4 linked regions of the Alligator mississippiensis genome follow. The protein of the gene in region 2 purifies or fractionates together with the protein of the main gene of each other region. This does not show direct contact. Links are inferred from orthologs where the notes say so. Each region holds a gene or a part of one and is shown on either strand. Other genes may lie near its edges. The genes, in order: SF3B3, FUS, CDC5L and SF3A3.

The links.
Region 1: the proteins of FUS (region 2) and SF3B3 purify together in Homo sapiens (affinity purification with mass spectrometry; 3 studies listed by BioGRID and IntAct, with this or other methods). This does not show direct contact. The link is inferred for Alligator mississippiensis from reciprocal best matches to the Homo sapiens genes FUS and SF3B3.
Region 3: the proteins of FUS (region 2) and CDC5L purify together in Homo sapiens (affinity purification with mass spectrometry; 4 studies listed by BioGRID and IntAct, with this or other methods). This does not show direct contact. The link is inferred for Alligator mississippiensis from reciprocal best matches to the Homo sapiens genes FUS and CDC5L.
Region 4: the proteins of FUS (region 2) and SF3A3 purify together in Homo sapiens (affinity purification with mass spectrometry; 3 studies listed by BioGRID and IntAct, with this or other methods). This does not show direct contact. The link is inferred for Alligator mississippiensis from reciprocal best matches to the Homo sapiens genes FUS and SF3A3.

What each region holds. Positions count from the first base shown.
Region 1 is NC_081833.1:36,190,243-36,197,903, forward strand, and holds the start of SF3B3 (splicing factor 3B subunit 3), read left to right. Parts: upstream 1-4,661; 5' UTR 4,662-4,737; intron 4,738-4,904; exon of another isoform or gene 4,905-5,013; intron 5,014-5,058; exon of another isoform or gene 5,059-5,077; intron 5,078-5,672; exon of another isoform or gene 5,673-5,763; intron 5,764-6,540; 5' UTR 6,541-6,593; coding exon 6,594-6,663; intron 6,664-7,081; coding exon 7,082-7,408; intron 7,409-7,661. UniProt on the Homo sapiens protein: Component of the 17S U2 SnRNP complex of the spliceosome, a large ribonucleoprotein complex that removes introns from transcribed pre-mRNAs.
Region 2 is NC_081830.1:432,199-439,974, reverse strand, and holds the start of FUS (RNA-binding protein FUS), read left to right. Parts: upstream 1-4,763; 5' UTR 4,764-4,803; coding exon 4,804-4,816; intron 4,817-5,148; exon of another isoform or gene 5,149-5,516; intron 5,517-5,899; coding exon 5,900-5,924; intron 5,925-6,371; coding exon 6,372-6,526; intron 6,527-7,172; coding exon 7,173-7,314; intron 7,315-7,708; coding exon 7,709-7,776. Other genes in the region: nucleolar protein 3, read right to left, coding at 1,214-1,503, 1,919-2,219. UniProt on the Homo sapiens protein: DNA/RNA-binding protein that plays a role in various cellular processes such as transcription regulation, RNA splicing, RNA transport, DNA repair and damage response. Binds to ssRNA containing the consensus sequence 5'-AGGUAA-3'.
Region 3 is NC_081824.1:11,837,505-11,845,135, reverse strand, and holds the start of CDC5L (cell division cycle 5-like protein), read right to left. Parts: upstream 3,004-7,631; 5' UTR 2,882-3,003; coding exon 2,837-2,881; intron 385-2,836; coding exon 281-384; intron 1-280. Other genes in the region: zinc finger protein 107, read right to left, coding at 6,846-7,631.
Region 4 is NC_081829.1:1,211,991-1,219,847, reverse strand, and holds the start of SF3A3 (splicing factor 3A subunit 3), read left to right. Parts: upstream 1-4,851; 5' UTR 4,852-4,880; coding exon 4,881-4,976; intron 4,977-5,745; coding exon 5,746-5,793; intron 5,794-6,634; coding exon 6,635-6,687; intron 6,688-7,721; coding exon 7,722-7,827; intron 7,828-7,857. UniProt on the Homo sapiens protein: Component of the 17S U2 SnRNP complex of the spliceosome, a large ribonucleoprotein complex that removes introns from transcribed pre-mRNAs.

The sequences.
Region 1 (7,661 bases), on a different chromosome or scaffold from region 2:
TGCCAAACTCACTTAGTAATAAGATCCTTTCTTAACACTCTCTTTGGATCCAAGTTATCCAACCCTGTTGTGTGTCATAACCTCTAAAAGCAAGAGCCCACAATTTACCTGACTAAACAGCCACACCATCAATACCAATGCAAGGATTTTACCTACCCTCCTTGCCCTGTCGACTGAGCTCAATGACTGACTTGTCCAGAGACAAGTAGCGATGGATATGAGCTGCTGCTTGCTCATAATCTTCATTTCGCAGAGCTGTTTGAACCCATCCATGCAGAACTTCAGGTCCAAGATGTCATCAGCTCTCTGGATGGCCTGATAGAGGCGGTTCTGCAAGAATAGCAGTTGAGATTTCCTTCACCTAGCTGGACTAGAAAAGAGAGCTATACAGAAAAGACAATATAGCCAAAGGGAAAGAAAAATGTGACCCATGGAGTAAGGGGTTACGATCACCTTGTCCCAGACAGGACTTCAAGGTCAGCAGGGTGCTGGGTGAGTAACTTGGCGTCCCTAGGTAGCTGATGACTTGAAAAAATCATGAGAATCCCAAAATTAGGTTGGAACCCAAAAAGGTACAGCATATAGAACCAGACTATAGGTCTCGCCTTTATTAGGAAAGAATAGCCTACAGAAATCACAGGGGCTACTCCGCACACTGAAATCTGCAGTCTCGTTTTACAAAGCTCCACTCCGTCTAGTTACCTTGGCAAGATCAAGCTGTCGGACTTTGCTGCTGACATTCTCAGCCAGATTCCAGGTGAAAGTGATCATCCCCGCCAACTGCCTGGCATCCCCCTCAATCAGTTGCAGGTTGGGGCTGGAAACACACATGCAGATAACAGGTGATACACAAGAAAAGCAGATCTGAAGCAGCAAGGCGTTATACGTAATCCCCCATCTTGTGCCTGCCAGCACCAGTCTTTTAACTCCTGTCAAAGAACATGACAGTGGCATGAGTTGAAAGTCAGATCCAAGAGTCTTATCTGGAAGATAGCAGCACCAAAGGGCCTATCTACCTAACATCTCTCTTACTAGCAATAAAGAGGTGAAAGGAAATACAGTAAAAGCTGTTATCCGGCATCCCCCAGGAATGCCAGGGTTAATCAAATATTCCAGTTAATCAAATGTGCACCATCTGGTGCACTCCCTGGGGTCAGTGTGCGGGGGGGGGGGGGGGGGGGGGGGGGGGGGGGGGGGGAAGGAGCGGGCCGGGCAGGCTGCTTTGCCCTGGGCCGTGTGCCAAAGAAGAGGCAAAGAAAACTCAGCTCAGGGCAGTGAAATGGGAAGTCCCCCAGAAGTGGAACTTCCAGTTTCACTTTTGCCACATCCCTTGGATGCCGGTTAATAGAGTTTTCCAGCTAATAAACTGCCGGTTAACACAGCTTTTGCTGTAGATGTATAAGTTTGTCCTTTTTTAGGGCAGGAAGTGTCATTTTGTGCTCTAGAATCCAAGCTTTTATTAAATATAAAGCTCCAAGCCTTATGATTGTAGAAATAACCTATGCATTGAACTCTGCAAATAGATTCATTTGTATATATCCAAATCTACAGACAACCTGAAACAACATATTTGAAGAGGCGCATTGTTCATATTCAGAGATGTTAGTGCTAAAGCCTAATACCAACAATACCCACTGGGAATGACAGCTCATTTTTTGACATTGTAGGAGAGCTGCAAGTATCATTACCTTCATTTATCACAGTGACTCAAAGAAAAGATTATTCTATGGCATCTTTCATGTCAAAGCACTCTTTAAAGGGAAACAGATTTACTCAGTAGTGAAAAAAAAAACAAAACACCAGCATTTGTGGTATAATGAAGCAGCTGTTGAACAACATAGGGTAACAGCATACAATAATTTAAAACTAGAAGGAAAAAATACATATGCATTTGAATCTAGGCCTTTTTCCCCCCAAGCAACCCTCCAAAATACAAAACAACTGAAGAAAAATAAAAAGCAGGGTATTGTCACTGAAGGACTGATGTGTTTACTAACCCCATGCGATGAAGAGCAACCATCTTGTTCTCTATGGTACCCTGTTGTTCCAACAGGGCCTCCAGCTCTTCTTCCACCACTTTCTGAAAAAGAAAGTGGTCCTATGTCACTTTATGACACTTTCTGGCCAATCACTAATGTCACTAGCTTAGAAGCAAACCCTCAACATCAATGTAGGAGTACACACCAAGGAGGGCTTCTGAAAACTCAGCTAATAACACAGTCTGTCAAAAGCCCCAGTGTTCCATCTTAATCTGGTTACATTTACACTCCAGTCTAATTTCAAGGGTCAGTTTTGAAACCTCTATCATGCAATGTTAAAATAAATCCATTCCTACATTGCCTCTCCATACCGAAGATGTTCCTGGCTTAACTGTCTATAAGAAAAGATCAGAGTACAATAGTATGCTCCAAAGTTAAAAAAAAATGTGAATGTTGCATAGGCAGGATAGTCAGTCTGTCAAGGTTGAGGGCAGGAAGCCTGTAAACCTCTGTACCAATCTCTTATGGCCAGCTAATGAAGCTCTAGCAGAGACATCTAACTTTTCTTGTTAGATGCTTTGCCATTATGACACAGGGAAGGGGAGGAGAGGGGTACTCCACCTTTTGGCCCCCCAGGCCAGATGAGTGACCCCACCCTCATGCCCCACATGCTGGGACTGGGTCCTGAGAGGCCAGTGCTGTCCCCTTTCACCTCCTGCACACTGGGATCGAGTCTCAGGGGGCTGGCACAATCCCCTGCATACCAGGATTGGGTCCTGGGAGCCCAGCACTGTTCCCTCCCACACCCATGAGCCAGGATTGAGTCCTGTTGGCCCAGCACCACCCTGTCCAAGCCCCCCACACTGGGATTAGACCCTGGGACTGGCACACCCTCTGGCCTGCTATGTGTGCTGGGATCAGGCACTGGATCTAGCACACAGGGCCTGGGGCTCTTCGTGGCTCCAAAAATGTGGCTGCAGGGGAGTGGTACCAGCATTCCCCTACCACCAAGTTTCCAGACCTGTGGGGAGCCCCAGAGACCAAATGACATAGTGCCATGGGCCACATCTGGCCCACACTCTTTCTTTATGTTATCTCACCAAGTTATACCCAAATGCTTTTCTGAACCAGGAAATGGATGGAATTGTGGTCCTCCCTATATTCTAACACACAAGAACAGTCCTGGTAAGTTGTTTTACTTCCGTTTGTTTTCACAAGCAAAACAGGTGGTCTTGTTTTCACAGGAGGACAAAACTGGATTTGCACTGAGTGAGGCATCAGCTTGCTTGTTTGTACTGAAAAACCATAAATGTGGTGAGGGTCTCTTTCTGATGTCTCTTCTTTCCCCTGTATGTTGGGCTTTTTTTCCCTCCAAAACCTTCACTCCAAGAGTTGTTTGCATACAAGGCTTAATGGCAAGTAACAGCAATTAATTTAAATTAACCCTGGCTGGTCCAAGAGTGGAAACAGATGCCATCTGATTTCCCATTTGTATCACCTTCAAATTTTTTAAGGCAGTATAAATGCAGAATAGACATCCTTGCCCTTTTTTGCACCACCTAATAAGAGAATCAGTGACACAACAAAAGGGAGTAACAGACTCTGCTGCTTCATTGCGGTGGGCACCTCTTACCTTGTGGCACTTACCTTGCTTGGGGCTGACTGGCCAGGGAAAGCCTCTCCTTTCCCCACTGCCCCAGACCTGCACTGTGGGTTTGGGGCAGCAGGGAAAAGTGCTTCCCTGCATAACCAGACCCTGAGGTTAACTGAGCTGGGGAAATCCCAGCTTTCTCTGCTGCTCCACACCCATTCAGTGGGTCTGGGGCAGCAGGAAGTGCTTCTAGTCAGCCAGCCCTGACAGGCCCTTCAGAGCTGTCTGGACAGGGGAAGACCTGGCACTGCTGCTGCTCTAGACTCACGCTGAGCAACGCAATGCGGGTTTTGCCCAATGAAGTGAACGGTGACTAAGCTGTGTGGCACAGCTGAATCACTCCACTCTGCCACTTCTAATTCCAGCCCAAGACAAGGGGTTCATTTGGATGCTTCGCACAGGCTGTAAGGTCTGGGGTCTGCTACAAGATGAGCTAAACCCAAACAGACCAAACCTGGCATCTATTTTTAACCAAAGGTTTAAAACAAATTCTGCCGGGACAAAGTCTTGTATCCCAGGACCCTGCACATGAACAAGTCCATGTCCCACTGAGAGTGCCCGCAAAGCTCCAAGATAACGCTTCTACTCCCAGGACAATTGGAGCTAAATTGGCTAAAATCAGATGGCTGCTGGCTGAGCGTGGCGGCCTCCCGGGGCCCTAGGAACGGACCAGCTCGCTGTCCCGCACGAAGCACGGGCGCAGGATCCGACCGGACGCTTCGCCTCGCGGCTGGAACCGAGCGCGCTGCGTCCGAGCTGCCCCGCGCCCGCCGGGGGCGACCCCAGCCCGGCACCAGCTTCCAGCCCAGTTTCAGGAGAAGCCCAAACGGGGCGGCGCAGAAGGCGCAGCCGGCCCGGCCCCACCTCCTCTGCGCACAGGCGGCCATAGGCGGCCTCCAGCTCCCGCAGGTCGGTAAGCGCCCGGATCCGCTCCATGGACAAGCACGAGCTGCCGCCGTCCGCGCCCGGCGCCCTCAGGGCCCCGCCAGCAGCCGCAGCCATCCTTGCCCAGGGACGTCACTTCCGAGAAATCAAAAGCCCCAGCGGGGTCTGAGCGGTCGTTGGGGCTGCTGCCCAAGGTGCCTGAGGGACACGCAGCCTTCTCAGGTTTGGCTTGGCCGAGCGAGCGTCCCCAGGCAGGAGCGGGGGGGGGGAGACGTCGTGGTTGCGGCGGGGTCAGAGCCGGGCGGAAGATGCCCACGGGGTCCTTTCATCGGTGAGGTCAGGCGATCCGAGGGCAGCCCCGTGTCGCTCGCGTCGGGTGAGGAAGGCCCCGGCGGGGGGCGGGGCGGCAGAGCGCGCGCACAGGGCTCATGGCGCAGCGGCTCTGCGGGCTCGCGGCCTAGGGGAGACGCGCGGCCGCCATCTGTTGCCATCCGCCCGGTAGGAGCCGCCGCTTGCCGCCATCTCGCGTCAGGCCGGGCAGCGCGGGCCGGGCTCGGTTTCGGTACTGTTTCCTCCTGCGCCGGCATCAGCGAAGGCTGCGGCGCGGCCTGGGCGGGAAGGGGCGGCGGGGTTGCCTTCTCCGGCCTGGCGGCCCCCGGACGCCTTAACTGCGCTCCGCTGGGGCTGCCCTGATCCCGCCGCGCCTCTGCGCCCTTCGTGCGGCTCCGGGACCCTCCCCCGCGTGCGGGTCGCGGCCTCCGCGTGCCCCGGCGCCGCGTTCCCAGGGAGGAGGTGCGCGGCTTAGTAGAGACCTGTTCCGAGGCCGGCTCCTCTGATCCCACGGAGGATTTTAGGGGCGCAGTTGCGTAGGCAGTTTTTGGGGGCCGCTGTCACTGTCGTACCAGTCTCTGGGGGAAGCATCTGCTCGGGCAGGGAGGTTTCACTGCTTGTGGGGAAGTGTGGCTGAGGGCTCGGGAGGGGGGGAAACATGTCCAGGGCAGCCTAGAAATCTTTCTCCACTTTTTTTCCATATAATCTTATTAAGGGCATTGTGTGACACAGACAATGGACCTGCAGACTGAAGTGGACCTGCTTTATTTGTTTGGTGTTGTCCTCTTTGTTCCTCAGCTTCTGAGCATGTCTTTCATACAGGGTTTCCCTGATTCCATTGTTTAATTGCCAGCCACACCTTTCATTGCACTGCTTCAGGCTCTGAAGAGTAGGCAGAATGAAGTACTTCAAGCTATGGTTTGTAGTGTTGTAATCCCCTTCCCCCCCCTCCCATTTTAATTAAGAGCAAACTTTACTAGTGAGCACAGCAGTTTGCCTGTTCATGGAGGAGGAGGAGGTTGTGCTGTATTGCTGGCTCTGTCCTGGGTTGTAATCCGCAACTCATCCCTCTTGTACAGGCAAGGCTATTAACGTTGATGAGACTAAAAGTGAAACCTTGCTTTATTATTCCTTCTTGTCAGCTCTTTCAGATAAATTACTGCAAAGTAAGAGCTCACTTTGTCACTAACCTTCTGGGTTAAACCCTCACAAGTAGGGCTAAATGGAATTAAAGTAAACAGGGATCCAGGACTGATAAACCATTATAACACTGTTTGGAAGACCATAGCAGCAGACCATCATAGCCTATGCAGTATGGGCTTGTTGCACACATTCATGTGCCTGCAAAACCTGATACCTTGACTCTATCATAAAAGTGAAATGAAAATTGCATCTATACAAAAAATGACTTTAAGCATGTATTTCTATGTTAAATTAGAACATTTAGCATGAACCCTTGTATATGGCTGTAAGGGATGGAAATATGTAAAGCTGACATGCATTGTTCATTTACAAATGAATTAAATAACATTTTTCAGAAGCATTGTAAGACATTCGTGCAGACTTAGCAGACAAGATTAAGCTGCTGGCACTTTTCTGTTATATTGAAATAATGTGAAAGTAAGCACTAAATAGATGCAACCTGTTTTGCAATTGGATGTATTCCTGATTTCTAGCTATTTTGTTTATTTGCAGTGGACTCCATAATAAAGCTGAAACATACGCAGTGAAGTAGATTTATCGCCACCATGTTTCTTTACAACTTAACCTTGCAGCGAGCCACTGGCATCAGCTATGCCATCCATGGTAATTTTTCAGGTAATGTCTGTTGTCCTGACTGTCTTTTTGTTACAAGTTACTTAAATATAACATTAGTTTTTCACTGACGTTTTGCTCTTGTGCTATTAGCTGGGTTGACTGACATGTTCAAATTGAGGGAGAGATCTGGTCTTGAGAACTTCCAGGAACTTTAGTAATTCGAGGCCTTGTCTTCACTGACTTGGGTGGCTTTAGTTAAGTCACTTTGCTCTTTGTGCCTCAGTGTTCCTGTCTGTAGAATAGACAGCCAAACACTGAAATATCTGGTCATTAATGATTCTAAGTGGCTTTGACTTTCTCTCCTATAAAGTATCAGGTTTGTAACAGTATTAGTATTGTAACATTGGTCTTGTCCTTGCTTGATTCTTCCACTTGCTTATGTTGATTATTGATTTTTCTCATGGCTTTGGCTTCTTAGGAACAAAGCAACAGGAAATAGTTGTTTCACGAGGGAAGATCCTGGAATTGCTCCGCCCTGATCCTAACACAGGGAAGGTTCATACCTTGCTGACTGTGGAAGTGTTTGGAGTCATTCGTTCCCTCATGGCCTTCAGGCTGACAGGTGGAACCAAAGACTACATTGTGGTTGGCAGTGATTCAGGGCGCATTGTTATCCTAGAGTACCAACCCTCCAAGAATGTGTTTGAAAAGATCCATCAGGAAACCTTTGGCAAAAGTGGCTGTCGCAGAATTGTTCCTGGTCAATACTTGGCTGTGGATCCCAAGGGTCGTGCTGTTATGATTAGTAAGTCAATCTAGGGATCTGGTTGCAGCATTTTAAAGGATTGAATGGTGGAAACAACATCCTTGAAATTATTAACTTGTGTTGTCCTTACCTCAAGGAAGATAGCTTTTGCACCATACTTTGTCAGCTGCAGCAGCAAGTATGCCTTGCAGGCAGTTTTCTAGATTTCCAAATTTTGCCATCAAAGATCCAGATGTTTAGAATTGTTCCTGCCTGTAACCATGATTGCACAAATGAATTCTAAAATTAGGCC
Region 2 (7,776 bases):
TTTTGAGTACATAATGTTCTCTCCCCGCTGCTTTTCCCTGTAAGTGGGGGCATGTCCACCTGCCTTTGGCCTGCTCAATTTAAAGGGAAAGGAACCTTTTGGGTTTTGTCCCCTTTTCCACAGCGTGGGCATGTGCCACATCAGAGGGTGCGTGATAGGCGGCTAAATACGGTATGTTGCAGTGATCAGGTTCTGTTCATCCAAGATGCAGGCTGGATTTAGCCCCCTCCCCTGATCTGTCTCCGTAACCTCATTGGCCTGCTTGCTACCTCATTTTCCACTGGTAGGATGTCAATTACCTTATTTATTGGCATATAACTCTCACCTGCCCCCCCCCCACTGAAAATGGGGGTCTCCAGCTGGCTCGGGACAGTACGATTTAAAGGGGAAAATCATTTTGATTAGTCTTCCCCAAATGGCGGGGCGGGTTTCATCTGAGAGCGGTGGTAGTCGCACGAATACGGTGCGCTGGGAGCAAGTTACGTCAGCGTCCTGTACGCAGGCCGAGGTCACCACTGGGAAGTGGGCAAGTGAAAGGTCTCCTCCCCTCGTTAACCTCACCCCCGCGGCTGCTGCTTTGCATCACGCTCATATAGTGCCCGTTACTGTATTAATGCCTATTATCACAGTAATTGGTACGCATGCTCACATTTTTCTCTTTACCCTCTGCCTGGTCTCTCTCGTTTACCTCCTTGGTCCTGAAGCCTGGTCCAGCTGCTGCTCTGTTACGCCGCTACCATGGCAGTGCCCGTGTTTATTGGGGTACAATGTCACTTACCACACTTACTGGTATACAACATTCCCTTTTTTATCCCTTTCTAGGACTGTCTCGTCTCCCTCCTCCCCCTCATTGGTTTGAACCGCCTAAATCCTGGTCTGGCTGCTACTTTTTGTTACACTCATGTAATGCCAGTTACCAAATGTATTGGTGTATAATGTCGGCTACCGTATTTATTAGTATACAACATGCTTTCCCCCCACTCATGACTCTCATTTCCCTTATTCATGCCACCATTGGCTTGAATGGCCTTACTCCTGGTCTGGCTGCTGCTTTGTGTTATGCTCAGATAATGCCAGTTACTGTATTTATTGGTATACAACACTCACTTTTTTCCTCCCTCTCTACAACTGTCACGTCTCCCTCATTCATCTCCTTGTTTAAATGTTCTAGATGCTTTGATTTTTGTTGTTGATTTTTCTTTTGGGGGGGGTGTTAATCGGTGTCTGAATATGTTTCCTCTGGCTCTGGCTCTGGCTCTGGCTCTGGTTCTTCTGGGCTTCCGCCCTCCTCTTCCTCCGGGTCCGGGGCTGTGTCTGCTTCCCCCTCAGCCCCTTCCCCTTCCTCCTGGGGATCCCCCTCATTGTCTTCCTCCCCCTCCTTGTCTCTTGGCGTTTCTTCTTCCTGCTCTCCTGCTCCTGCAGCTGGTTCGGGGTGGACACAGTCCCTCTCCTGGCGCTCAGAGAATCGCGATGGCTGCGCGTCTCGTTCGGGGTTGTAGAAATCTAGCCAGGCAGGGAGAAACGCAATTAATTAATTAAAAAGCAGAGGAGGGAACAGAATAACGGGAACAATGAGCTGTGTTTTACTGTGTTTTCTAGTGCACAACCCGCCTATTTTTCTCCCCACTATACCACAACGCTAATCTCCCATCTCCGTTTCCTTTTGCTTTGCGTGCTGGTCTTGGCACGTTGATGAGGGGACAGATATTCTGCCACTTCCCCATCCAGTCGAGGGAGAGGAGCTTGGTGGTTCCTGGGTAGAGCTTTTTATAAAGAAAACCAAAGCAAAGAAGAAATGTAGGTGGTTTGGAGGTGGCGGGGAGGTTAAACATGGCAACAGGGGTGGTGCGAGCTCAAATCCAAGCCTACGCTGTGCTGTGTTGCATGCAGGAAAACATGGTGAAGGGGCACAGCTTACCGTAGAGCGAGGGCCGGGGAAGCGGCGGGTGCAGCAAGGCCTGAACGGAGCCTGGGAAGAGGGCGTCCACCTGCTCCAGGAGGGCCCGGCAAGCCGCCTCCCCCTTCTTCTGAATGCAAATGAGCAGCTTCCTGACCTTGGGCCCTGCCCCCGGCGTCTGGTTGAGGGCGTCGTATTCGTCCTCACTGAGGAGCGACTGGGCCACCAGCTCGTCCAGGGTGTTCTCGGGATCGCGCCCGATGATGTCCACGAGCTCCTGGCGGTGGTCGCGGACGGCGGCGTAGCTGCTGCCAGCCGCCATTGCCGGGCTCTGCCGTAGCTTCTAGCGTACGACGCGTCTCCCCTTTAAATCACGCATGTGGCTCATTTGGGAAGAGGCAGAAAAAAGAGTTCCCACCCCCCAGCACCTCTGAGCCCAACCATTCAGCCTTTTCCTTTCAGCCGTGCCCCTCCCAAAAGCGGCAAGGGGAGGCACCTTACTTACTCACCTACCACGCGCCTCTTTCCCCCCAAAACTCAGGGAATGGAGCTGGAAATGGATGCTGGAGAGTGCAGTGACATGGGAAACTTCCCCCCACCCTCCTTTCCCAATGAAGATGTGGGCTGCAGTGACAGGCATGTGATACATGAATAAATATGATCGTTTGCTGTCCGTGTCTCCCCTTTTTTAAGCGGTTTAGAAGTTGTATCCGAAGCCAAAGAAATACGATGGGTGAATTAGTCAGGCCTGTATTCTTCCAAAGGCTGGAGGGCCGTAGCCACCCCTACTTCGGCATGCTCTAGCTTCTGTATTTTCTAGCGCACAACAGGCCCCTTTGCTCGCCTCTGGGAGACAGGTGTGCATTACACGTCAGAAAATACGGTAACGCCCAGGCTGCACTGCAGGGATCAAGGCAGGAGAGTTTCTCTGTGGGGCAAAAAAATCAGCTTTCCTGCTTGATATGCACCCTCCAAACTTGTGGGGGCTGAGTTGGGGGCAGGGATCGCATGTTATATGCATGAAAATGCGGTAATAACACAGCTGCCGCAATGGGGATGACAGCAAGGGGGCTTCCCTCTGGGGCAAGAAACCAGATTCCCCCCTCGTGCACCCCGCCTCAAAATATGGGGGGGCAGGCACGTGCACGCTATACATGGGAAAATATGGTAATGCCAGAGCTGTTGCCTTATGGGAGGTGGTTCAAAGCAGCAGCTGGTCCTTGCCCTGGGGCAATACCCAGCTGCCCCCTACCCCAAATGTGGGGGGTGATTTCTGGGAGGGGGCAATAGCAGCACGGGCTAGGTTTCTACTGTATCTTCCCGCATAAAAGTGCCCTCTCCCTGGTTCCTTGTAGGCCTGATCCCTGGGGGGGGGGTCAGTTTCTCCCCATCAGCTGGGCGGGGGTGGGGGGAAGGAGGAGTCCCCCGTGCCCCTATTTCCCCTGCCCCATCCCCCCCCATCAGGCCAAGGGGGTGATGGGAAGAAGGCCCAACCTGCAGCTGAGTCACGCAGGCAGCGCAGCGCAGCGCAGCGCGTCCCGTCCCCTGTGCCCCCCGCCTGTCCCGTCCTGGGGGAGGCGCCGGGCTGGCCCATGTGGGGGGCGGGGGGGGTGCACTATTTGTGTCCTGGAGAAGCTGAAGGGGAGGGGGGAGCGGTTACCATACTTGCTTGTGTATAATACTCCCCTTGATGACAAAATAATCTGCTGCCTTGCAGAAGGGCCTCACAGCAGATGAGCGTGGCATGGAGAGGCACCCCCCCCCCGGGCTCCCCCCCTACGCTCCACACAACCCCGCCCAAGCCCAGGCGTCCAGGCTGCCCGCCCCACTGTCCGGGAGATGGGGGGTAGGTGGGGGGGGATGTGGGGGGTGGCAAGGACCATTGGGCTCCCTGTTGCCAAGGCAACGGCCCAGCTGGTTTAAGCCGGTCCAGACTGGTGAGCCTGGTGTTCCAGGGGAGGAAACCATTGAGCAGGCGTGCGGGGGGGACGGACAGCAAGGCCTGTGGGCCCAGAGCGCGACCCAGGCGTCCAGGCCACCCACCCACGCGCGTGCACACACACCTCCGGTGTCGTGGCATCGCACACACACACAGATCCCAGGCGTATAACCTGTGTGCATGTACATGCATGCGTGCACGCACAAAACCCAGGTGTCCGGGCCGTGTGCGTGCATGCACCCACACCCACACACAGCCCCCCCCCGAACTTGCAAAACAATTCCTCTTTCGCGTACACACACGTGTGCATGCACAAACAAGAGTCCCCAGGTATCCAGGACACACACACACACACCCCCCAGGCATCCAACACGCGCACGCACACACACCCTGTCCACAAAGGCCCCATCTCTCTCACCCCCTTCCGCATCCTGCACAACCCCCTTTCCACCCGTACCCCCCATTGCACACCCAAGTACACACACCAATTACACCCCCACTGTGCATCCATTTACACTGCTGCACACCCACTCGTATATACCAGTTCACACCCCAGCGCACACACCATTTACACCCCCATTGCAAGCCCCCAGCCAGCTGCAGCTTACACCCCCCCACTTCTCCCACATGGTTCCTTCCCCCCTCCCCCCCACCGCCATGAGCTCATCCCTCCCCCCCACCGCAGCCCCGCGGACTGTACCATTCCTCCTCCCGCGGGGAGGGGCAGGAAGAGCAGCACCCTCCCCTTTCAGAGCACGACAGCAACACCGGGGAGGGGGGCAATCCGCACGCGGGGGGGGGGAGCGAGGGCTCAGGGGAAATGGGGCGGGGGGAGACGAAGCTGTGCTGCGCTCCCCCCTTTCTGCGGATGGTAGCGGCCGGGGGCGGGGCGGGACGGGGCGGGTATATCAAGGCCGGGGGCGGGGGCGGGCGCGCAGTGCGGTGCGGGGCAGCGCGGAGGGAGGACATGGCGTCTAACGGTGAGGGCTAGGCTGCTTTTCGGGGTGCAACGTAGGCGCTGCAATTAAGTCATACAATGGTGGGGAGGCCACGGGGGTGGCAGTGACGTCGTGCAGTGCTCGGGGCTACGCATGGACTGTAATGTGAGGACTTCCGGGGGGCAGCGAGGTCGCGTGCTGGCTTAAGAGGGCAATCGTGCAGTGGCGATAGCGGGGGCCGCGGTTACGTCATGCGAGGGGTTGGTGGGGGGTGAGGGACGTCCAGGGGAGCTCTAGGGGGTGGAGTGATGTCACGAGTCGGGGCATGTCGTGACCTCATGTAGGGGGCGGGGGGGCCCCTGGGGTGCACTTACCTCACGGAGCAGGGGTGGGTTGGGATGACGTCACAACGGGCGGGGGGGCCTGCCACGACGTCATACAAAGGGTTGGGGGTACCTCGGCAAGCCCACCGGAGCGCGACCTGGCGCAAAGCTTTGTGGGGGTGCAAGCTAGTGTTCCTCCGTTTCTGGCCCCCGGCCGTGCTGGAGGAAAGCCAGCGCCCGCCATTTTCCGGGCGGGCGGGGCCCGGCGGTTCCCTTTATCCAGCTGCGCCATTGGGCACCATTTTGTGTGCCAAGATGGCGGCGGCCGCCGTCCCCGCGTGGGCCGGAGGGAGCCGGCTGCGCATGCGCGCCGGAGGGGGGCGCGGGATTTGCGTGGTGGCGCCTGCGCAGTGCGGGAGCGTCCGGGGCGGGCCGGCGTGTGCGCAACGGGCCGCTGCGGCGCCCTGGGGTTAGTGCGCATGCGCAGTCGCGGCAACTCCGACCGCTCTTGCTTCCCCCCCACGTGCGTCCCTGGGCGGAAGGACACCCGCGCGCGTCCGCGGATGCTGCGGGGGAGGGGGGAGCAGGCACAGCCGTGAATCCCAGGGTTGTCTCGGTACCGTAGCAAGTGCTGCCTTCCTGCCTTCCTTGGGGTGACATGACTCCTGCTACCCCCCTCCCCCGCTACAGGCACTGTCCCTTGTGCCGGGGTGTGGGGCCGCCATGCCCACACTGACGGGGGGGGGCGAGCTTAGGCTTTGGGGTCCTAACGGTTTCTCTCGCTTTTCTCCCCGTCTTGCAGATTATTCCCAGCCGGCGACACAGAGGTAATGGCACCCCCCCCCCCCCCGCCGGCCCTCGTGGCAAGCCTGGGCGCAGGCCCTCGCCTTCCCTGTCCACCCAGTGCCCCATTTCCCAGTCAGACCAGTGGGCCTGTTCTCTTAGTGTCTGGTTTTCCCAGTCCCATCAGAGTTGCATCCTATCCAGCGTCCCATCTTCCCAGTCAAACCGGTGGCCAGTCCTGTCTTATGTCCTGGCCGAACAGGGCATCCCGTCCTGGGTGTCGCCCTCCCAGTCCAACTCGCCCCTGTGTCCCCCCAGTCCAGCCAGTGGCCCGTCTCCTCCTGTACCCCCCCCCCCCCCCCCGGTCCAGCCAGTGGCCCGTCTCCCCCCCCCCCCCCCCCCCCCCGGTCCAACCAGCAGGCCCACTTCTGGCGGGTGCCCGCACCCAGGGGCTAGGAGGATCTCACGTCCCCGGGCGTCCTCTCTTGCAGCTACGGGGCCTACCCCACTCCGCCGGGGCAGGGCTACTCGCAGCAGGCCAGCCAGCCCTACAGCCAGCAGAGCTACAGCGGGTACGGGCAGTCGGGGGACACCTCGGGCTACGGCCAGAACAGCTACAGCTCCTCCTACGGCCAGACGCAGAGCAGTACGTCTTCGTGTGCCGCCCCCTCCCCCACAGCCTGCCTACCTCCTACGTTCACTTTCCAGCCCTGCCTTGCACATTTGCTGTATTCTCTTTTTCCCAGCCTGCCTTGTATATACATCTCCCTTCCTGGCCTGCCTATATCTACATGTTCCCCTCCCCCCAGCTGCCCTGAGCTCATGCGTGGATGCATGCATGAGATATGTACACATGTGAATGCACATGTGGGTATTACGTATGGACATACGCGTGCCTGTTTCAGCTGGTCCGTAAGGTTCAACTCTTCTTTTTTAATTTATTCTCCTCTGCGGCAAGAGAGGCTCACCTCAGCCACGGCAGAGCAGCAGCTCTCTGGTTTTGCTCCTTTGGCAAGTCACCCCCAGCTTTGTTTTTTGGCAGCGTTTGATCTCGCTTGTGGCAGCCTCGTTAAAGCATCAGGTCTACATCCTCCTTGCCGGTGGCGCTCTCCTGAATGCTTCTTGAGCAGCTTCTGTCTATTAAATTGGCTCTCATAATTTTTGTCTTACGCGTTGGGGAAACTGAGGTGTAAAGGAGTGCCAGTCCATAAGGGCAGCAGATATTGGGGTGGGCGGTTTGTTCACTTTTGGGGTACAGGTGTTGAAAGAGGTCTGTGTTCTCCCCCTGCCAGGTTATAGTACTCCGTCAACGCCACAAGGCTACGGGACGTCAACAGGGTACGGGAGCAGCCAGACATCACAGAGCTCCTATGGGCAGCCGTCCTCCTACCCTGGCTACTCGCAGCAGCCAGCAGCCAGCTCTTCCAGTGGAAGGTATCTGTGGGAAACCCAGGCCCCTTGCTCTCACCAGCACCCGCTCACCTCCCCTCCTGGAGAGCCAGGTGTCTGGGTCCCCAATTCCCTGTAATCTAGCCCAGCAGCACGCGGTCCTTGCCTAGAGAACCTCATCCTGCAGCTGTCACTGCATCTCGGGCTCCTCCCAGGGTTTCTTAGCTCTGAACACTACACCCCCTCGCATCCCCTCCCAGAAAACCCAGGTGTCCAGGCTCCCATTCCCCTCTGTTCTCACCTACGAGACCATGTGCAATTTGCAGAGAACTTGGGCATCTGGGTCCCCAGTCCCTGTGTGCCCCCCTCCCAGGCCAGGAACCCAAGTGTCTCTCAGATCCCCTGCCTACAGCCCCATGTCTTTTCCCTCTTGCCCCAGCTATGGCAGCAGCTCCCAGAGCAGCGGTTATGGGCAGCCCCAGAGCGGCGGCAGCAGCAGTGGGGGCA
Region 3 (7,631 bases), on a different chromosome or scaffold from region 2:
ATTTAGTCCAATAATTTGCATTTTTAAACAAGTTATTTGCATACTGTGCAGTTATTGCTATCATCTGCAATTTGAATAGTTTTCTACTTTTGCTCATAGTCCTTTTAAAGAATAAGTCCTTGCAATACCTTCAGGAAACGTAACCAATTAAAAATTTTGAAACTATTTCTTCTTCCGCTAGACCTGAACCAATAGGAAACTCAACAGTGACCTTTTAAATTCATTAATGAATGATCTTTGTCTTTGAATGCCAGTAATGGCTTTTGTCTTCTCCACTTACCATCTGGCTTTGCACTGTTTTGCTGACTTTCTATGCAACAAAGAAGCAATCCGAGACCACTGGTTTTTGCCATATTTCATTACAGCTGCTTTAAGAATTTCATCCTTAAAAAGAGAAATAGTTGTTATTACTATGGGTCAGTAGTAAACTTTATCAGAGCCAAATGCTCACTTGCAACTCAACAGGGAAATGTAGACAAGGCTTCAGCAAGGGTTAACACCTGAAGGTAGATGTGATTAATGAAGTGAAAATAGTGACAGTCATTTATTCTGAGTATACAACAGCATTTGGGGAACAGTCAGTCTCACCATTTCTCCTGTATGGTTAATTTCCATTGTTTGTGTGGGTCTTTCAAGGAGCAAGAACATCCTATTTTTAAAAAATGCACACCCGTGTAAATATCATGAAAATCAGGGCAGGTATACAGCTAAAACTGACTACTTTTTTAAAGCAGTCTTTATTTCAAGATGATGGTGTCTTTATTTTTCAGGACTGTAGTACCTGACAGTTCAAGTCATGGGTCAGAACTCCACCATGCTAGATGCTGTACAAATGCAGAGCAAAACTAGAAGCTTCAGGGATGCAACACAAATTACACAAACTTATCCCAGCTTGCCTGCACCAGGTCTGTACTAGTAGAGCTAGTGGTTTACATGCTTATATTTGCCCCTTAGGCCTACAGTAAACTTTTGTTCTCCTATAAGTGATTTAGTAAGCTATGGGAGAGGCAAAGATTTTTTGGGGGTGATTCCTTTTACTGGACAGCTGAATAGTTGGGATAAAGTTAGACGAGCTTTCAAATGCTCAAAAGCTGAAAAGCTTGTTACCCCTTTTGAGACTTTCCTGGGGGCAGAAGACAATGCTTTCCTAAATAATTGAGTGGAAACCAGAAGTCTTATTTTGTGCAGCCAAAAGCACACAAGGGGGCCATAAAAAGTGCAGTCTATGAAGTGCTCCATCGCTATTTGCTACAGCTTTGACTAAGGATATGGTGGGGCAAAATGGAAGGGCATCCACTGTTGACAACAGACAGCTGGGGTCAACATATATTCAGCACCAGTTCAGCAGCTAATGGTGCCGATCGCAGGTAAATTTTCCTAACACCGAAAAGCCCTTCCAAAGTGCGCTCTGGCTTTAACGGGAGGCTGATGAGTTTTGGTGCAGGGTATTTCAGGAGAATATTAAGTATTTAATATGAAACATGCTCTACGTATTTACTTTCATAAGCCTCAGATTCCCTTTTCTTGGTAGTTTTTATTTCTTTGCTGGCAGTTGGTAACACAGGGCCCTTCTAGATATTGAGATAAAGGTGTGATGGGATCTGATGCATGATCCATACTATCATGCCTCCTGCCACACCAGACATACATGGCAGGAAGCATGATTGTGGCATTCAACATCAGATCCAATCATGCCTTACTGCTTATGCGGGGGGACCCTGAAATCACGATGCCCAACTTCTCCTGCACTGACAAGTGGCAAGCTCCTGTGGCAGTGACCCCTGCAGCTGACGGGGCTCACAGCTGTGACAATGCGTGGGACACTGCCATGACTGCAACTCCAGCAGCTGCAGGGCTTGCAGCGTGCATGGTGCACAGCTGAGCCCCGTCACAGGGGTGGCCACATGTTCAACTAATGGTGCGATAAGAACAAGCCACGAAGCAACGGCACATATTTTATAAAATAAATTTTATGACTTATTCCTCCTTTTACCACACCAGTAATTTATGAAGCATGTGGCCGGGTCACCACTTCAGACACGATTCCCTGGTCAATTGTGTCTTAAGGGTCATGTGTAGCGGGGGGGGGGGGGGGGGGAGGGGGCGGCCCATGGGTGCAATTAACTCTGTGACAGTGAAACAGTCACAGCGGTTTTTTATCGTGACAAATCATTTGCTTCATGTCAATCATCCAGTGATGAGATCTCCAAGCCTCTATGCCAGGGGTGGGCAGGATGCGGCCCGCCAGGACATTCTATCTGACCCGTGGCGGCCCTAAATAATTTAGAAAATTAATATTAATCTGCCTCTGGCTGCCTGTCATGCGGCCCTCGATGGCTTGCCAGAACTCAGTAAGCAGCCCTCTGCCCAAAGTAATTGCCCAGCCCTGCTCTATGCCCGTCTTGGGGGTGGGGGGAGGATCCCTGAAGATGAGAGATTATTTGTGCTTTGCCCCAAAATAAGCAGCACGAAGGCTGCTTAGGCAGGAGCTGAACCAGAGGACTTCTCTTTGCAGAGGGCTGCTTTGCAGCTTCTTACTCCATATACCACCACCCCAAAGGAGGGAGACTGAGAAGTTAAAAACAAAAACTCAAAGCGGGACTAAGAATCCCTTAATCTCCCACGTGAGCCCAAGAGACCTGAGCTGCGTTTGGCCACAAGGAAGGAAAGCAGCCCAGTACAAACACACAAAGCGCATGCGCACGTCTCCCAGCCTCCTCCCCCTATAAGTGCATGCGCAGGACTCCCGGGCCCTTTTCGGCGCATGCGCTCTCGTGTAGAAGCGCCGTCCGTTGACTGGCCCCGTGGGAATCGGGAGGGTACGGGAAGGGCCTACCTCGGTGTTCCTCCACACCCCGCCTTTAATCATAATCCGCGGCATCTTGGCGGCGAAGTGGAGCGGGCTTCGCAGCGGAGAAAACCGGGGCGGACGGGGGAGAGACGCCGCCGCCGCCGCCGCCTGTGCGCAGGCCGGGATAGGATTCTGCGCAGGCTCAGTGAGGGCAACCGAGTGTCAGAGCTCTGCGCATGCGCAGCGGAGAATGTCGGCCACCGTTCGCGCATGCGCGGGCGCAGAAGGCGGGGAGAGGGGCTGAGGCGCGGAGCGAATCTAGCGCCCCCTGGCGCGCGGAGGTGATGTTGGCGCGGGGATCGCTGAAGGGCCACGTGTGTCCGTGCTCTGCCCCGCAGGTGCTTGTGCTCGCTGGCGAGGCTCCCTTGAAACCCTCGCACAAGTGCAAGCCCCAGGGCCCGCGCCATACAGCTGCCCCTGCACTGGCACCAGTGCGTGTGGGTTTGGAGGCCTGGCAACTGTAGGGCTACTGCAGACCAGGGGCAGTATTTCTGGCTCCTTGCTGGGGTCGTGGGAGCGGTCAAGGAGCTTGCCCGAGATGAAGATCCTGCGTCTGAAACCCGCCCCCACTGAATGCCCCGTCTGCCTGCTGTGGAAACCCATCTTAAAAAGCGTGTTTGCAAGACAAGGGTCTTTGGGGAAATCTGGTATCAGATTTACCCCCCCGAAAAAACCTCATCTGCTTACATCCTTAGATCACCACGGCTACAACCTACACCGTTGCAAGACAACGGGTCTGTTCTGATCCACGAGAAACGTGCGGGTGCTGGTCGGGAATGTTCGCTTCGCCCGCGCTGACATCCTTGTTTGCAACGTACCTTTTCTATGCAAGATCATTTTGTGGAAGTCCTAGAGAAGCGGGGCTGGAAGGGACCTCCGGACGTCACCTAGTCCAATCCCCTGCCTGAGGCAGGATCGTCCCTATCCAAAGCTTCCTGCGCAAAGCCGTCATCTAAATAAACTTAGTACAATTACTGTCAATCCTGATGTGACACAAGATGTAACACCCTAACTTGCCAGAGGTGCAAGAATGCAATTTGGGACATTGGGCCAATGTCCTTTAATAAAAGGTTGTTAACATTTGCTCAAGACATCCCAGGGAGAGCCACATCCCCTGCTAGAGAACGGCAATCCCTCCGTCCCTCTCAGTCTATACCAATCTGACCTTGGGGTAAAATTCCTTCCTGACCTCAAATATGACCACTGGTCTGACCCTGAGCAGAGGGGCAAGACCAGGAACTTCTGGCTTTGGTCTCAGCAGAAACATTAGCACATCCCAGCCAAAATCCTCAGCCTTCCCTGTAGCCAACACCCAATGCCTTAGAGAGGCTTAAACACATCCTGACACGTGTAGCAGTAAGGAGGGGAGCAGATTAGGGGATTCTTAGTATTACTTTCGCCCCATTTCTACCTCTGTTGGGATAATCGCATCAAGTAAGCCACCCTAAGCAACCCCTGCCATTAGAAATCCCCTGGTTCAGCCCCTGCTTAAGCAATCTTGCCACTGCACATCCTGGACATGCAAATAATGTCTACTATTGTATCTACTATTGTCTACTAATGTCTACTATTGTATCCAGAGTAAAGGGCCCAGTGGTTGGTCCCTCAAGCTGTATTTCTATTAGGAAATGAAATAGCCACTGCTTTGCTGAGCAGCCTTTGTACACTCAGTTTTAGAGGGACAGTTAAAAAAACCCCTGATAAAATGAAGTAGCTTGAAATCAGTTTGTGATCACTGCAGCACAGAAGCATTTTGAAAAATTTCAGGGTATTCCAAGATACTGCTTTACAATGGTTATTAAAATCTTACAATTATTACAGTATTCATTGCATTTTGAAGAAGCCATATTAATCTGTTTATAAAGGCAAAGCTGTAAATACTTCAATGGCTAACACTGCATTTTACCAACTTTTGAGCTAAGGTTATTTTAACACATTTAAGACTTTAATAGTGGAAATGTACATCAAAACCATGTACATTATCTGAACACAATTCTATACAAACTGATGAATAGAGATGCAGCACGTTTCCATTATTTATCTTTTCCATATGGGTAGCAGAGAGTTTTTCAAATGATATGGGCAGCAATGCAGAACATGAACTTAAGTGTATTTTTCAGAAACAGCAGTCCACGTTTATAACAGATGCAGGAATCAACTTAGTCACCTCTTCTAAAATAATTTACTTTATTTGATATAAAATCCTACATAAACAAAACTCTTCATGGGTTATGAATTTTAGTAAAAAACAAGGTACATGGGAAACAAGCAGTGCTAAGAAAAGTCTCCTTTAAATAACTATTAGCTAAAATAATAAGAAAAAATTAAAAGACCCATACTTTTTCTATGAAATGTTTATGACCCTGGAGAAGATTTTCTGGACTGGGCTGCACAATAACTAGGATAAAAGTGGTGGGCTCGGCTGGAGCCAACCACGCTTTGTAACTTGCACTTCCAACTTTTTTGGTTGCAAACAAGTTTGGTATTTATCCAGAAATGAGTTTTGAGGATGCTCAGCATCTCACAAAATTAGGCCACTAAAACGGTGGCATGCAAAATATAGACGATTATTTCTGTCAGGCTGCCTGAAAAGTAAATAAGCATCAAAAGATGCATTCACATCAGCAATTCTCAACCAGAGTGCTACGAGACACCCGCAGGAGCGCTGCGATGCCACACATTGTACTCTTGCATTAGAGTTCCCTGATAACCCTAAAGCAGGCAGGAGCTGGCTCAGGCTGTAGGTCTTCCCAGTCTGTCCCCGTTCCCACTCGACCTGGAAACAGAGGCATGAGAAAGAGGCGCACAGGTGTAACTGTTCCCGGGACTGCCAGACTGGGAAGGGCTATAGGAGGAGGTAGCTCCTGCCTGCTTTAGGTTAATGAGAGAGCCCTACACAGGAGGATCACACACAAGTGCCACGGCCATTCCCAGTCTGGCTGTGCAGCAGGTAAGTAGGGCAGTTTTATCTGGAGGCAGCAACAGCCGGTTGACAAGCACTGAGGTAAGCTGAGCCAGCAACAACAGTGGTTCTCAACTGGGAATGTTGCCACATTCAAAAAAGCAGTGGAGGGTGACTCTGGAAAGTCTTTCATTTCTCCTCTCCAAGACTGAAAAGGCAAGATGTCAACGTGGATCAGTGGCTAGTAGTCTATTGACTGGAATGCGTTTACACGTACCCTTTAACCCGCATTGTACATCTCTAAATTGGTGATTGCAATGACCTGGTTCCATAAGTTATTTTCTTAAGTCCGTCCTCTGGACACTGGTATAGAAAACCCCCAGAACAGGGATTGCAACATACAGCAAATGGGAGGAGGGATCCATTTTCAACTAATTTTTCACACAACTCTGCAATTTTTAGTTTGCAAGTTGCTGATGTGCTAGAAAGAATTGGATTAAAAATTATTTCACTTAAATATGTTTTGTCTGCACATCTCAATCATGTGGTACAGAAAAGATCAGCCTACTATAAAGGTGGGGCCTGTACTGAAAATAAGTACAGGAACTCAAATAGCACCTCACATCCTTGCTCACAAGGCAATGGTAGGTGGTGCAAAAGTGTGTTTATCAATCAGGTAGGCACTTACAGAACAACTCTTTCCTATACCAACCCTGGCCTAGATTTTCACCCTTTTCTTAAACTACATTGGGCTTTTAACAGCTTTGAGTCTTTTTAACACAGCACATGATGGAACTTAAATTGAAAATGTACATGTGTTTTACGCCCGCTTTATGCATAATCCCTTAATTTCCATTCAGTGTACTATAGCCCAGATCCCATGGATGCTTCCACAATTTTTACCATGGCAACTTTAAAATTGATGACAGTTGGCATAGTGGATGCAGGGCAAAGAACATGTTTGAAATACTGTGAACTTCCTGGAGCTTATAACCCCAAATTTTAATGAATCCTATTTTACTGTCTAGTCTTCAAACACTGCTGATTGATGGTTCTATACAAAACTGAGGATGGAAAGCATTATATTGAACTTCAGGTATCTGCAGGTTTATCCTTGTGCACTTTTATGTGCTTCTTCAAAGCATATTTATCCCTAGTGGAAAACTCACAGGAATTGCAGTGTAACTTCAAATGAGTCAGCAAGTGGCGCTTGAGGTGGCTCGATGTGCGGAAAGCAAGAGCACACTGGTTGCACGTGTACGGCCTTTCACCTGTATGAATTCGCAAGTGTTGCTTCAGGTTTCCACTGTGAGCAGTGGCATAGCCACACTCTTGACACCTGTAGGTTTTGACAGACAATGGTGATTGCTCTTGGAGCTTGGTACCATCTATATGTGTAACCAGATGCTGCTTGAGGGTTTGCCATTTGTCTGTTGAATAGTCACAGGTTTTACATTTGAAGAGCTCCGTGTTGAAATGCAGGAGCTTGTGTCGATTTAGGTGACTTGTGGTACGAAACTTCTTCTCACAAATATCACAGGCGTGGGGTTTTTCACCTGTGTGAATCATGACGTGGAGCTTAAGGTTACTTAAAATGTATGTCGTGTAATTGCATTCTGCACACTTGTAGTATTGGGCTTGACTTTGTGATGGCAGAGCATTTTTGCTTTCTTTGCCCCTGTAAAGATCCATCGGTTTCTCAAAGCTTTCTGGGCTGAACATGGAATGGACACGCTCCAAGTCTTCCACAGAACTAAGATCATTTCTTCTTAGAGTTGTGCCCTGAGTTTTACACTGCTTTTTAATACGTTTTGAACTGTTCCCTAAATACAGGTAAGAATCATCATATTTACGACATTCCTGTAAGTGCATGTAGCT
Region 4 (7,857 bases), on a different chromosome or scaffold from region 2:
CGCTCCCCTGCATGCGCCTCCCTCGCACACTCCCCGCGTGCTTCTGTCCTGCAGCCTTGGCCCACTGGTGCTGCGGGCCCCGCACAGTGTTATGCATGCAACTCGCTCCTCTACGGGCAGCCAGGGCCTGGCGGAGCCCCTCGGGCGACAGCTTGGACGCAGGCACGTTGGAGGCGGTGGGTGCTTTGCGTTCTGCCCCGGGGAGCTTCCCAGAGAAGCGCCCTGAGCCCAGCCTCCTCGCGTCTGTCTCTGTACGGCTTTGTGTAATAAACCTTTTTGGGACGACGTGCTCCGGGGGGTTTCTCTGGGCCGGGGGAGACGACGGTTGGGACGAATGCGGTCGAAAGGGGATGGGCCGGCTTGCATCTGCTGGACCACGCAGGGTTGCCGGTCCCCAGCAGCAGCCGGCGGCTTCGTCAGAGCTCGGTGACTCTCCGTGACGTTGGAGGTGCCGTCTCCCCATCGTGGCTCGCTCTGGGCCGCGGGGTCCCCACCTCCGGCCCCCACGGCGCGGCGACGCCGCTCTCCAGACAGAAGAAGCTGGGGGCTGCGCGGCACGAAGGACGCGGCCCTGCGCACCCTTGGCTCTGGCTCCGAGCAGCTTCGTGAGAGCATCGTGCTCCATTGGGACCTCCGTGCTCCTGCTGCCCCGTGACCCAAGCCGGGCTGTGGGTCCCCGGGGCTGCTGGCTCTTTGCTGGAGGCCGAACAGCCGCCGGCTCCAGCGCAGCCACTGGTTCGTGGCTCGGCCCACGCGCTGCAGCCTGCGCCGTTCCCAGGGCTTAACCGCAGCAGGCTTCCTGGCGAGAGGGCCCCCGGGCTCCTCTTCCAGCTGGGCTCCGGCGCCTCACGTTTTTCACCAAAAAAGGCAAGGGCCCAGCTGCACGTCGTGCGGGAACATCTGGATTTCATCCCTGTCAGGAGCGGGTCACGGGACGCGCCGCGCGGGGCTGGATTTACGGGAGGGGGCGGGGTGATGTCATGCACACGGGTCCCCCGAGAGCTGGCGGAAAACAGGAAAGGGGGAGAGAGGCAGCTGGGCAGGACGGGGAAAGAAGCCGCCCCTGCACCCCTCTCTCCCCCTGTGCAGCTCTTGGCCCCGGGGTGACGGGGTGTTCGAGGCCGGGCATGCCCCAGCTGGGCTTCCTGCACCCCTGCCGTGGGCCTGAGCCCTGGGGCAACTTGCCCTTCTCTTAGCACGTCCGTACGAGCATTGCTGGCCAGGAACCAGAGCTGCCGGGTTTCGCAACGGCTGGGGGCCATGCGCCAGCTCCAGACATCCCCACCTCCCGCTGCAGGACGGGGCAGACTGGCGACGGGAGGCTCGGTCCTTCTCCACGGGCTTTCCCTATGGTGGTGAAGCCCGGAGAGAGCCCCTCCACCAGCCAGAGCCGGCGGGGTGGGTGGGTGGGACGCGACTTGAGGTTCAGGTGTTCCCCTCTCCTGGGCTGGAGTCTCGGGCTGGGGGAACGGCGAGTCCGGGGTCTTATCTCCGGCTTTATTTTTAGCCAGGCGTTCATAGGGAAGAACCGAGGCGGCTCGTGGGAGAGCGATGGCACGCGATAGCCCCGGAGTGGGCAGCGTCCTCCCAGCGGAGCAGGGGAGCCCCGGGCAGGCCGTGCCCAGTCCACTTGCTGCTGCTGCTTTCATCAGCCTTAATTTAGCTGCCAGCAATGTCACGGCATGGCAGGAAAAGGCCGGATCCCTTGGGGCAGGGACTGCGTAACGAGAGGGGGGTGTTGACTGGATACCTCCACCCCCATCCCTGCAACGCTGGCCAAGCAGAAACCCCACAGCCAGCGCAGGGGGCCTGGATCTGAGCCGTTAGCAGCTGCTGGGGATGAAGGGAGCCGGGGCTGTCGCATGTGGTGGCACAAATGATTGTGCCCCCGGGGTGGACAGCTGCAACTGTGACCAGAGACTGGGAGCTGTCACATCCCGAGCAGGGGCCCTAGGCGTGTCCCTGCACCCCCAGCTGCGTGTGCCCTGAGGGACGTGGACCCACTGCGGGGATCCTCTGCAGGGGGGTGGGTGAGTCCTGCACTCATGGTGCGTGCAAGCGAGTGCTGGGAGAGAGAGGTGTGTGTGTGTGTGCAAACGTACACGTGTTTTGGCTGCACGGCACCCATGTTAGGAGTCGCTGCAATGCCCTGCTCCTCCCTGACCCCCTCTCTGCCCTTCCCAAACACCCTCTTGGCCCCTTCCCCTCCGGCAGGCACGTCCCGTGGCTGCTGTCCAGCTCCGCTCCGAGTCCGCGGCCGAGTTACCAGCCTCCCCCCTGTGACTCTGCCCTTCCCACTCCGTCTTTGTTCCTTGAGAAAGGTCGCTGTGCCTCCGCGCAGGTCACTCCTGCTCCTGCATCCAACTGGCAGCATCTCCCTGCCGCTTGTGCCACCATATATGGACAGTATTGGGGAGAGAACCATCCGCGTGGGGCTGCAGGCGGCTTGGCCGCCGGCCAGCGGGAGGGCTTCGCTCAGCTGAAACCCCTCCACGTGGCCGGGAGAGAGCGCGGCCCCCAGCTCCTGGCTGTGCACAGGGCAGGCGAGACCCCCAGTGGGGCAGGGCAGCGCCAGAGGGGCCCACACGGTGCTGGAGAATTGCAGCCCCCTGTTAACCTCCCTCCCACCCCAGCTCAGATGCCCCCGAGCTGAGCGGGGTGCAGCACATGCAGGTAGGTGGCTGCAAGGACTGGAGCAGACTCAGTCAGGAGGCAGAGCCCATCTCGGTGCATGGTGCTTGCTCGAGGTGGCTGGCACTGCTGGCGAAGCCCCTTGCTGTGGGCAGTGGGCCAGCCTATGTCAGCTTGCACCTGCATTCCCACGCTGCGCTGGGAACGGGGCCTGCTGGATTATCTGGTTCTGGGCTTGCCCCTTTCCTCCAGTTTTGCACAGTGCTGAGCAGTCAGTCTCCCCTGCAGCTGCTCTCTAACTTGCTCCCATTTCAGTCTCCCATTTCACTGGGAGTAGGGGAGCAGGACACCTGGGGAAGCCCAGAGGATAACAGCTGGCTGACCCGCCGGCCTGGGGCACATCCTCTTGCTGCTCCAGCTGGAGGGAGCCAGAGCTCAGCCCCACGAGGAGAGGGAAAGAAACGCCAAAGCCATCTCACCTTGAGAGCAGGGAGAGATTGATTGCAGGCTCTTTCCCAGGACAGCTCAAGCTTGCCATCTGCCGGAGGCAAAATAAACGCTTGTTCCTATTTCCCTATCCGCCAAAGGGGCGCGTGGCGCTCCCTTCCAGGGAAGAGCTGCCAGCTGATCATAAATGAGACGTCCCCACATTTCAAACGGCGTTGTTATTAAAGTTGTTGCAGCCACGATAGACAAGGAAATATATGAGAAGCATTTCTTTCTTTTTAAATAATACCTTTTATTGGACCAACTGTATTGTGGGGAGAGGCATGAGACCGCTTCAGGCACAAAGGGCCCTTCAAGCATCAACTGGAAATGCTGCCACGAAGGGCATGTTCCTAGCTGGCTCGTGCGCCTATCTTGCTGCAGCTGCTGCTGGGCTTCCCAGTGCCACCGCACGCACACGAGCTACTCGTCTACACGCGTGAGGCCATTCGAGCTCTCCCCGCTGCATGGGCACCGTCGACACCGCGACTCCTGACTGCCCTGCCGCTGCCGCAGCTTCCATCACCTCTTTGTGGGGTTTTCCAGTAAGCACCTTTGCACGTCAGTGCATCCCGCCGGCTACGCAGGGGCGGCGCTGCCCTGAACCATGCTGCGCCCGCAGAGCCCTGCTGAGCAGTGGCGCCGCACCGATCCTTCCAGCTCCCAGCGTCTGTTTGCTGCAGCTCCCTGCTCTCTCCCGTCTCTCATCGTAGCCTGGAAAATCCCTGGGGCAGAGCCTGGGCCCGTCCCTTCTCCAGCGCCGCTCACCCGAGCACGCGCGTCCAGGCCTGAACGTCCAGATTCAGCTTCAAATGCCGGGGGGGGGGGGGGGGGGGCACCACTGCTTTAAAAAAATATATATTATTTGTTTATGAATCCCAATGATCAAATAAGAGATTTCACGTTTCTAGATGCATCCAAGCTCCTAAAATGCACATAAGGAGAGGTGTTTATCGCCTCCGCGAGCGCTGCCGTCACCCGTCGGCACGTGCAGGCACCTTGGCTCGGCGTCCTTCGGTCTCTGCGAGTCGCTCCGTGGTTCCCGTCGCCAGGTCGCTCCTCTGCATCCTGCACCCCTCGTTATCGTTTGCTCCTCTTTTACATTTCACATTTCACACCGGGTTTCTCCGCTCGTGGGCCGGGCGTGTCGAGGCTCAGACAGGTTTCTCAGACGTCCTGGGCTGGAGCCGCGGTCTTTTTCTGCAAATTCCCCAAATTTTAACAAATTCCAAGAATCCCCCCCCCCGGTTTTGTAAGAGGGCCGGGCCGAGTCGTGGGCAGCGGTGGTGGCAGACGTCTCACCGCGCTGGACCCGTGCACTGAACCTACGCACACGCGCACACCCTTGCACGTGCTGACATATGTGCACACTCACACACATTCTGGCATTATGTGCACATGCTCATGCACACATGCTCACGTGTATGTGCACATGTGCCCACACGGGACTATGTGTGTGCATGTGTGTCCCACCCACACGCTCACGTGTGCACACCTGGCGGGTTTGGAGCCGAGCCCCTGCGGAGCGGGAGGGGGAGGGGGCTCTTTTTGCGGCGGAACCTTCGCGCCAGCAGCAGTTTCCGTCCGGACGCAATAGGACACCCCACGTGACTTCCGGCCGGCGCGCCGGAAGTGGGAGGAGGGCGGTAAACTCGGGGGCAGCAAGGAGGGAGGCGGAAGTGGCGTAACCGGCTTCCGGGCGGCAGGAGGGGAAAGCGGAAGTGGTCCGGGGCTGCTTCCGGGCGGCGGGCGGGAGGGCCAAGATGGAGACGATCCTGGAGCAGCAGCGGCGCTACCACGAGGAGAAGGAGCGGCTCATGGACGTCATGGTCAAGGAGATGCTCACCAAGAAGTCCACGGTGCGCCTGCGTGCGTGCGTGCGTCAAGGGGGGAGGGGGTCTGTGGATGGGGGGGTGTATAGTGTGCGTGTGTGTCAAGAGGGGGTCTGTGGATGGGGGGTGGTGTATAGTGTGCATGTGTGTGTGTGTGTGTCAAGGGTCTGGATGGGGGGTGTATGGTGTGTGTGTGTATAGCGTGTGTGTGTGTGTGTGTGTGTCAAGTGGGGGGGTCTGTGGATGGGGTGTGTGTGTAGTGTGCATGTATGTGTGTGTGTCAAGGGGGGGTCTGTGGATGGGGTGTGTGTGTAGCATGCGTGTGTCGGGGATGTCTGGATGGGCAGTGTGTGTGTATAGTGTGCATGTGTGTGCATCAAGTGGGGGGGTCTGGATGGGGTGTGGATGGTGTGTGTGCGTACGTGTGCTGTGTCAAAGGGGGTGTCTGGATGGGGGGGTGTATAGTGTACATGCGTGTGTGTCAAGCGGGGGGGTCTGGATGGGGGTGTGTGCGTGCGTGTGTGTCAAGGGGTGTGTGGATGGGGGTGTGCGCGTCAAGGGGGTGTGTCTGGATGGGGGTATGTGTGAGCGTGCGTGTGTATGTCAAGGGGGGGTCTGTGGATGGGGGTGTGCGCGTGTGTCTGTGGTGGGGTGTGTGTGTGTGTGTGTGTACACACCTCTCCGCCACGTCTCCCTGTGTGCGAGTGCACGCGCTGCCCAGCCGCGTCTCCTAGCTGGGAGTGAAGCCGCGCTAACATCTCTCCCTCCCTGTGTCTCTTTCTGTGCCGGGCTGCAGTTACGGGACCAGATTAACTCGGATCACCGCACGCGCGCGATGCAGGACGTGAGTACCGCCGCCGCCCCGTCCCGATGCCCGTGGGCCACCCTGGCCGGGGGGGAGGCGGGAGGGAGCGGGCACGGCGCAGCGCGGCGCGACAGGGACGTTGTGGGGATACTTGAGAAACGCCCCAGAGCGGGGCGCGGGACGCGCGGTAAAAGGGAGACGTCCCGCCATGCCTTGTGGGCAGCCCGTCGGAGTCCAGCGGCGCGCTGTTATACGACCGACCACGATGGCGCTTAAACACCCGGACATCTCTGTTTCTGAGTGTAAATGGAAAAGGGCTTGTGCTCTTCTTGCACGTGCTTTGTGTGACGCCCCAAGGTCTCTTCCCCTGCGTTCTCCTGAGGGTGCTTAAGCATTTTGTTGACCTGGGTTTGGGCAAATGGAGCGTGGGTTAGATGCGTTTACTTTGAGCCCCAGCACCTGTACGGCTGCTGTAAGTTTTGCATGGAATAGAATAGGACGGGAAGGGACCTGTAAGATCCTTGAGCCCGGTCCCCTGCCTTGGGCAGGAGGTAATCGGGCTCAAACAAGCTGAAGGAGATGCTGTTTACAGTTACATAAATATTACATTGTAGCCCCTTACTGATAAGCTGACTTCCACCGAAGAGCACAAAATGACTTGGAAACGTGATGCTGTTCCTGGAAACACCTTCAGCAGCTAAATGGACCAGTGTTGCTTTTATTGCTCGTTAATGAGCCTTTATTTGTTGGTACCAAAGGAGCAGCGGATAATTCTGTCTAATGAGAGCCCTCAAGGAAGCCTTTTCAGCTACTTTGTTGCGCGGTACTTTGTTGCAGAAGTGCAGGCAGAGCATTGACATGTAGTGTGCTCTTTTCTCAGAGGTACATGGAAGTGAGTGGCAATCTGAGAGATTTGTATGATGACAAAGATGGGTGAGTGTTTGCCAAAATGCCTTGTCTGACCTTTCCTAGAGCTGAAAGCTCTGCAGAATAAATTTCACTTTTGTGCTCTGCAAAGATCCCAAAGGAATTGATGGTATTGAAAGCCTACTTGGAACAAAAAGTGCCAGGGCTGTAGTGCATGTAAATCAGCGCACCTTTAGGGATTAAAAAAGAAGAGGTTTTGTTCTGCTTTTTCCTTCTTCTTTTCTCCATAATAAACTTAAGTTTCCTTCCTGGATTTTGACCTCGCTTGCCAAGACGGGAGGGAAACTTTTGTGTTGATTATATATCATTAACAGGGGATATCTTTGGGAATCCTAGAGCAATCTGATTAGTACCATAGAGCAGCATGTTGTTACGGAGGGCTGTTGAACACTGTCTGATCCAAAATGTTTCGTGGGGTGGGAGACAATTCAGCTGTAGCATACATTTTCTAAAGTGCCCTGTTGGAGAAGTAGTGGCTTGATGAGATTCAGTTAGTGAAGGTGCACAAAAGGTCAGGTTTATTTTGCTCTCCTGAGAAGTCAGTCAACCCCAAACAGAGAGAATTGTAGTCCAAAAGCCAACAAAGTGGTTATGTGTGGGTGCTAATAAAACTCTCCGGGTTCATTTTAAGACCTAGTATATTCAGGTTTTCCAGAAAATCATACACGCCAGTGGCATCTGACTTCTGTGTTTGAACGTTTTAAACCAATGCTCTGGGTTTACTGCCGAGCTGGGTTCTTTATCATGTGAAATGGATGTGTTTTTCTTGGACTAGACCCGAAGGCCCGTAACTGGGGAGCACCTTACCGCATTATAGGTGACCAGGAGAGCTGGACTCCCAAATCCAAACCTTTCCGAGTATGAGATCTCTGTGCAACTGTTAAGCGTATGAAATTTAGTTGAGGGCAGATGGCCGGTTTTGGGGGAATCTTTCGTGTAATTGTGAGATGAAAAGAAATGGGATCAGCTTTGTAGATGCTCCTTATCCTATCCTCTGTTGCCCTCTCATTTGATTCAACTTGTTTCTTGCGGAACCTCAGGTTACGGAAGGAGGAGCTCAGCGCCATTTCGGGGCCAAATGAGTTTGCAGAATTCTATAATCGGCTGAAGCAGATCAAAGAATTTCATCGGAAGCACCCAAACGAGGTCAGTGGCCCTGCGCTTTGTGTGGGGAAA